2 linked regions of the Oryctolagus cuniculus genome follow. The protein of the gene in region 1 interacts with the protein of each later gene in a pairwise test. Links are inferred from orthologs where the notes say so. Each region holds a gene or a part of one and is shown in the gene's direction. Other genes may lie near its edges.

Evidence for each region.
Region 2: the proteins of MYBPC3 (region 1) and ACTC1 interact in a two-hybrid assay, tested with the Homo sapiens proteins (2 studies listed by IntAct). The link is inferred for Oryctolagus cuniculus from reciprocal best matches to the Homo sapiens genes MYBPC3 and ACTC1.

What each region holds. Positions count from the first base shown.
Region 1 is NC_091432.1:18,629,455-18,633,715, forward strand, and holds the start of MYBPC3 (myosin-binding protein C, cardiac-type), read left to right. Parts: upstream 1-1,359; 5' UTR 1,360-1,442; coding exon 1,443-1,467; intron 1,468-2,513; coding exon 2,514-2,780; intron 2,781-3,361; coding exon 3,362-3,469; intron 3,470-3,545; coding exon 3,546-3,653; intron 3,654-3,740; coding exon 3,741-3,889; intron 3,890-4,147; coding exon 4,148-4,261. UniProt on the Homo sapiens protein: Thick filament-associated protein located in the crossbridge region of vertebrate striated muscle a bands. In vitro it binds MHC, F-actin and native thin filaments, and modifies the activity of actin-activated myosin ATPase.
Region 2 is NC_091443.1:57,697,244-57,700,460, reverse strand, and holds the end of ACTC1 (actin, alpha cardiac muscle 1), read left to right. Parts: intron 1-301; coding exon 302-463; intron 464-600; coding exon 601-792; intron 793-1,579; coding exon 1,580-1,761; intron 1,762-2,300; coding exon 2,301-2,444; 3' UTR 2,445-2,628; downstream 2,629-3,217. UniProt on the Homo sapiens protein: Actins are highly conserved proteins that are involved in various types of cell motility and are ubiquitously expressed in all eukaryotic cells.

The sequences.
Region 1 (4,261 bases):
GAGCTGGACTGGAAGAGGAGCAGCTGGGACACGAAGTGGCGCCCATCTGGGATGCCGGCGCTGCAGGCCGTGGCTTTACCCGCTACGCCACAGCGCCAGCCCCAGTTTGCTTCTTTCTATAGCAGCAGATGGCCCCGATGTGATAAAGGGTGGAGGTCGAGCTGCAGGGAGCAGCTGTCACAGACGAACGGGGTGGGGGTGGGGGCGACCAGGGGATCCAGAATAGTCTGGCATCAATCTTTGTGACTCTGCCAACAGCGGGCTCTGCTTCTCCACCCTCCATTTTGGGGTGTATTTAGAAGTCACCCCACACCCTCACAGGTAGGCTCCCCCAGCCCTTATACCAGCCCTTGATGTGCAACTCATAACAGCACACACTGAGACAGGCACACACTGCCCTAAACATTTCATTTTATTTGAAAGGCAGAGAGAGAGTCCATCTGCTGGTTGTTCCCTAAACGTCCTCAACAGCCAGGGCTGGGCCAGGCTGAAGCCAGGAGCCAGGAACTCCATCTGGGTCTCCCACATGGGTGGCAGGGGCCCAGCTCAGCACGTGGGCATCCCCTGCTACCTCCGGGGTGTGCATTAGCAGGAAGCCAGAATCAAAAGCCGAGTAAGGACCGCAGCCCTGCATTCTAACGTGGGATGCAGCTAACACTGTTAGACATAAGCCCGCTACAGTAGTGGTCCCGGGCAGTGGGCACGGCGGCCCCCGATGTGCTTCAAGGTTGAGGAGAAGGCAATTCTGAACTTGGGGTCTGTGGCACAACCCACGCCTGGCAAGCATGCTTCTGACCCATGATCCTCAAGGCCACGGACCAGGCACGCTTGGCAGCCAGAGGGAGGTGCGGACGGGGGCTGGCATTGCGGCCACTTTCAGTGTCAGCCTCCCACTTCTGATCCAGCCCCCGGCTAATGCATCTGGGAGGGCCGTGGAAGTTACCCGAGTACTTGGGCCCCTGCACCCATGTGAGAGACCCCGATGGAGTTCCTGACTCCTGGCTCCAGCCGGGCCCAGCCCCAGCTGTTGTGGTCATTTGGGGAGTGAACCAGCGGATGGAAGACCTCGCTCGCTCTCGCTCTCCCTCCTTCCCTCCCTCCTCCTCCCTTCCTTTCACATAAATAAATCTTAACAAAAAAGGATGCAGACAGGGCTTGGGGTACCCTGAAGGTCACCGGACTTGGAGGGGCAGGAGCCACGGTGGTGTGTTAGGGGCGGGGAAGGGACAGGAGCCAGCCAGGAACAGTGTGGCCCTACCTTCTCCCCAAGCAGACATCAGCTCTCTGGAATTTGTCTAAATTTAGCAGGTGCCTGGGAAAGAGGCAGATAAGCAAAGCCAGGGAGGGGGAGGCCCCCATATATAGTGGGGAGGCCAGGACCCCACTCAGTCCGTCTCTGGGTGGCCCGTGCCTGCGTGGTGCCTGGTGTGACTTCTCTCACGATGCCGGAGCCGGGGAAGAAACCAGGTAGCTCCCAGCCTGGGGCTGGGTCTGAGTGGGGGGCTGGGGGCAGGGGGTGACTGCAATCGGGGGGCAGGACTGGGAGGGAGTTCTTGAGGGGTTAATGAGGATGAGGTCTCGGAGCTCCAGGGCACGGTAGGGGTCCCCCCAGGTCCCATTCTAAGTCTCCATTTCTATGCTCCAGTCCTCTGAAGACAGAGAAGGTGAACCCAGGATCAGGGCCCCAGAGCGAGGCGAGAACCCAGGCAGGGGGTTGCCAGCCCGCATCCCGGTCCCAGAGCACAGGGGGACCAAGCTCAGCCCAGACGTGAGCCAGGCTCAATGCATGCCCTTGGACCAGCCCCACCCGCCTTGTGCCTGTCTCCCCATCCACGCGGGAGGGCTGGGCTCGGCTCTGCCAGCTGATAGCCAATCCACCTCCTTAGCCTGCACCTGCGTGGCCCCCACGCCAGGCCTGGCCCACGCTGCGAGTGATGCAGTCCCTCTTCTCAGGGAGAAAACATACAAGTGGCTCCTGAGGCCGGGCCAAGGGCAGAGAGACCACAGAGCAGTGGCTAGGGCCTGAGCCCGGCCCTAACCAAGGCTGTCCTGGGCAGGCCCCCAGCCCCCCACCCCCAGCCACCTCCCAGGCCCGCTTTATCTCAGTTGTCCCTTGGAGGACAAATTTAGCCACATTCCACGTAAGCAGAGCACCTGCCCCTTGTCAAGGGCCCCAGACGGTGGGGGGATGGGGGTGGGGGCTGGGCTGAGCAGCCGTGTGCCCAGGCAGGGAGAGCAGAGTATTTAGGGAGCACACCTAGCAAAGTCTGGTGTGGAGGTTAGGACCACAGCCTTGGCTCCCCTGCCTACTGGCTGCGAGATCCTGGACAAACCACTCAACCTGTCTGAGCCTCAGTGTCCTCATCTGGGAAATGGACGTAATAAGGGCACCCACCTACCTCCTGGAGCTGCTGGAGAAGTCAGAGGTGCTGTGTGGAAGGACTTAATAAGAGAGGAGCAGGGGCAGGTGCACAAGCCGCAGGGGCCCCTGCAGCCTCCATCTGGCTCTCTAGCCTCAGCCTTCAGCAAGAAGCCGCGCTCGGCGGAAGTGGCCGCAGGCAGCGCCGCCGTGTTCGAAGCTGAGACCGAGCGGGCCGGGCTGAAGGTGCGCTGGCAGCGGGGAGGCAGTGACCTCAGTGCCAGTGACAAGTATGGCCTGGTGGCCGAGGGCACACGTCACACGCTGACGGTGCGGGACGCATGCCCTGCTGACCAAGGCTCCTATGCGGTCATCGCTGGCTCCTCCAAAGTCAAGTTTGACCTCAAGGTCATAGAGGCAGGTAAGACTCAGGTCAGCCCGATTTTTGGGGTTTGCAGTTCTTGGGGCAGAGGCGATCCTGCCGCTGCCTACCCGGCCCCCCCAAGGTACAGGAGGCGCTGTCACATGGCCTTGCCCAGAGACCCCTCCCTGGTTCTACAGCAAGACCTTCCTGCTTGAGCCGACCGATGGGCAGCTGGGGGGAGTTCAGAGATGGACAAGGCCTCCCAGGGCAGCCCCACACACAGATGGCCATGAGATGGGCCAGCTGTTCTCCCAAGGGAGCCCTCAGAGTGTGGGTGAGGAGGGAGCCCAGGGCAGCCTGGGGGAAGTGAGCAGGGCTGAACCGCAGAGCTGTTGAGAGCAGAGCAGGGATGCAGAGCCAGGAGGAGAGGCTGAGAGGGAGCAGTGCAGGCCGGGCCCCTGCTCAGCATGAGCCACAGCTCAGGGGCCCCGGGCCAGAGTGTGCGGACAGGGCCAGAGCGCTCTGGACATCCTCATTGAACCAGAGGCGTGCTCAAGAGTCATACTTGGGAGAGAGAGGGCGGAGGGGAGGGTCTCGGATTGGAAGCTCTGCCATGACTTCCCGCCTGGCCCCTCCAGAGAAGGCAGAGCCCGTGCCAGCCCCTGCACCTGCTGAGACCCCTGGAGCCCCCGGAGTAGCCCTGGCCCCAGCGCCCGAGCTGGAAGGCAGTGCCCCAAGTCTCGAAGGTGAGAGGGCTGGGCAGGTCAGGGCTGGCGGGTACAGGGGTGACCCTGGGTGGGTCTCAAAGGCCTTTGCTCATAGGGTCAAACTCAGCAGCTGCCGCCGGCCCTGCCCCTGGGTGCCCTGGGGCCCCTGATGACGCTATTGGGCTCTTTGTGATGCGGCCGCAGGACGGCGAAGTGACCGTGGGTGAGTGTGGGTTGCTGTGCAGAGGGTGGGGTGGGGAGGCAGGCGGCAGGGCACCCTCGAGCCCAGCTTGCTGCCCCTCTCCTGCAGGTGGCAGCATCACCTTCTCGGCCCGCGTGGCCGGGGCCAGCCTCCTGAAGCCACCCGTGGTCAAGTGGTTCAAGGGCAAGTGGGTGGACCTGAGCAGCAAGGTGGGCCAACACCTGCAGCTGCACGACAGCTACGACCGGACCAGCAAGGTGGGGCCTGCAAGGCATGGGGGTCTGGGGCACACAGGGGCCTCCAGTGTTGTAGGCAGAGCCGATCCGCTCAGGTGTGCAGGCTGTGCACTGCACAAAGTGCTTCTTAAATAGATGCCATCACACACTAGGGTGCGATTACAATCATGCACCAGCAGATGGCAGTCACGGGCCTTGAGACAGGACGAAGGCGGGTGGGGCATTGGCCACTCCCAGACTCTGCTAGGGGCCGTGTCCGCTGATACCTCATCCCCACAGGTCTACCTATTTGAGCTGCACATCACTGACGCCCAGGTGGCCTTCGCCGGTGGCTACCGCTGCGAGGTGTCCACCAAGGACAAATTTGACAGCTGCAACTTCAACCTCACCGTA
Region 2 (3,217 bases), on another chromosome or scaffold:
AGATGAAAACTAAGAAATCTTCCCAGGAGGCTTGCATCATGTGCTAATGGCTAATAAGAGGGATAGTCACTTGAAAGTGTCCTTGGGACATTTTTCTACTATAATCTTTAAAAGGAAGAGCTGCTGTTGACTTCAGTTTTAGTATCAACTTATGCTTATTCTCGTTATTCTTGTGTAAAAGATCTAATTTATTTGGATTCGTGCCAGCACTAGTATCCCTCAGTAAAGACTAGAATCAGACTTTGCCGTGACTAAAAGCAGTGGTCCTTAGGGACTTCCCTTGTTCCATTTCCCATGACAGGCATTGTTCTGGACTCTGGGGATGGTGTAACTCACAACGTCCCCATCTATGAGGGCTATGCTTTGCCCCATGCCATCATGCGTTTGGATCTGGCTGGTCGGGATCTCACTGACTATCTCATGAAGATCCTCACGGAGCGTGGCTACTCTTTTGTCACCACTGGTGAGTGTGTGTGTGTGTGTGTCTCATCTGCCACAGCATGTCTCTGCTTTTTTTTCCTCCCTCAGTGAATCCACCTTCCTCCCCACAATTGACTCTCTTTCTTCAGAGCTTGACAGTGATGCCCTTTATTTCTGCAGCTGAACGTGAAATTGTCCGTGACATTAAAGAGAAGCTGTGTTATGTTGCCCTGGATTTTGAGAATGAGATGGCCACAGCTGCCTCCTCCTCCTCCCTGGAGAAGAGCTATGAACTGCCTGACGGCCAAGTCATCACTATTGGCAACGAGCGCTTCCGCTGCCCTGAGACACTCTTCCAGCCCTCCTTCATTGGTGAGTTGCTGGGTTTAGGACAGAGGCACAGAAAATCGTGGGGTCTCCTAGAATAAAATCTCCTATAGTTAGTAGGGATTAAGGATCCATGAGTTAAAAGAAGTCGTAGCATGGAGTCTCACACAGCTCAGCCTCAAGTACGGCTGGCTCATTAAATGGAAAGTCTGTGTTCTGCTCCAGTGATATAATAAAGGATGGCACACTGACTTCATCTCAAAATAAGGGACAAGACGGAGTAGTAACAGAATATCACGTGTCTGCAGGAAAGGAACAATTACTCATAGAGTTGATTTATTCCAATAAGTTCCATTACCAAGTAGCGGAATTTGCCTTTTAAGTGAATCATCATCAAATGCAATGGCAATCCTTCTCCTAATAAGTGGATGCTAGTATGTCATCAAATATCTTTCCTTAGAGATGATTCTAAGAGGAAACTTGTCAGGCTCTGATTTAATCTGAAAATTAAAAATTCCCTTATTTTTAATTTAACTGTATGTTTTGTCATTTTCCAATACATCTCCACACATCTGATAGTTACAGAAGGTATTCACTCTAAATAAATGCTAAACAGAGCTTTAGTTTCTTGGTAGTCTTTTGAGGATCATCTGCCAGCACTTTTAAAAGACACTTGTTCCACCTGTTCCCCCCAGTGTGTCTTATAGGGGAACATATGTTTCAGAGACAAATGGTGACAGCTTAGCAACAAAGAGAAGTCCTGTTCTCTCTCCTCCACCCTAAATGTGTTAAATGTACTGTGATTTTTTTTTTTTAATAAACTTGCTTCTAGGTATGGAATCTGCTGGCATTCATGAAACTACTTACAATAGCATCATGAAGTGTGACATTGACATTCGCAAAGACCTGTATGCCAACAATGTCTTATCTGGAGGCACCACCATGTACCCTGGTATTGCTGATCGAATGCAAAAGGAAATCACTGCCTTGGCTCCCAGCACCATGAAGATTAAGGTAAAGACTTTTGTGGGGAGGAGAGACAAGGCAGATCTTGACTTCTGAAGCAGAACTTCATTCCTAATTCCTTTACCCTCACACTTACCTCCCTGTCTCCAATAGACTTTACCCTTTACCTTTTAAAGAACTTTTTCTGATTTTTTTTCTAGCACTTTTCCCTAGATAGGAAACTCTAAATTAAATGCTTTCAAGCAGCAACTAAAAATAAATATTTTTTTAAAATTAAATCTTTTAAACATTTTAGAAGTCCCCAACTTTTGGGGTAACCTCCATCCTTGCATTTAGCTTGCTGTCATACAATTCTCTAGTTCAGAGAAGTGGGTGAAATTCTACCTTGTAGAATGTTTAATAATGGAAATGATGAAATAGAGGAAAGTTCCTAACACTTGATTGGCCACATTATTTTTTGGAGTGAAGTATCTCACATCACAGTGAATGAATTTCTAATATTTTTTCTGTGACTCTTCCCAACAGATTACTTGTTATGTTGCTTAGAACTACAGAGTTCACTGGAAGTTTCTGTTTTCTTTCTGCAGATTATTGCTCCCCCCGAGCGTAAATACTCTGTCTGGATTGGGGGCTCTATCCTGGCTTCTCTGTCCACCTTCCAGCAGATGTGGATAAGCAAGCAAGAGTATGATGAGGCAGGACCATCCATTGTCCACCGCAAATGCTTCTAAGGTGCCTTCTCTCCTAGTCTACCCTGTGTTCAGGATGACAGTATTATGCTTCTTGGAGTCTTCCGAGCCACCCCCTGCCCCATCTCTCATCAATCATTGTACAGTTTGTTTACACACGTGGAGTTTGTTTGTGCTTCTTATATTTATTGCTTTATAAATAAACCAGGCCAGGACTTGCAACCTACAGAAGCTTCTATTTCTTTTTGGGGTAAGCATGAGGTGGGGCCAGTGTTTGCTTTGACATTGTAATATTATGGAACCATAAGTTTATCAGATGAATCCGTGGGACATATACCTGGGGGTTAGAATGATAATTTTTTTATACTTTGGAACAGAATCGTGAATATATTTCATATCTGAAAAGTAAATCGTGTTTGATTCTCTATAATCAAGAAGTGAAACGGCCAACTAAAATTAGTGGCTATGAATGACTAAATGACCAAAAGTTGTTGCTTTAGCAGATATTCAAATCATTTTTGTAACTTTGCAGAAAAGCACATACATATTGGTAATGAGAAAGTCCAAGACTATTTTAAATAAATTGGTTTAGTTTCTCAATCTTTTAATTCTTCACTTGTCTTCCTGATATGCATGAAACACAAAAGCCACGGTCCAGTCACATCCTACTTTAAATAAATCAAGACCACTGTGCATGTTCAAAATATGTGTGAGGCAGCAGGAATCAGACATTTTTGCATAATTGATGACTAATTTGTGAGACAAAAGTCTTCAACCTTTTTATTTCTTTGAAATCTTGGAACTGGGGTTTTGGG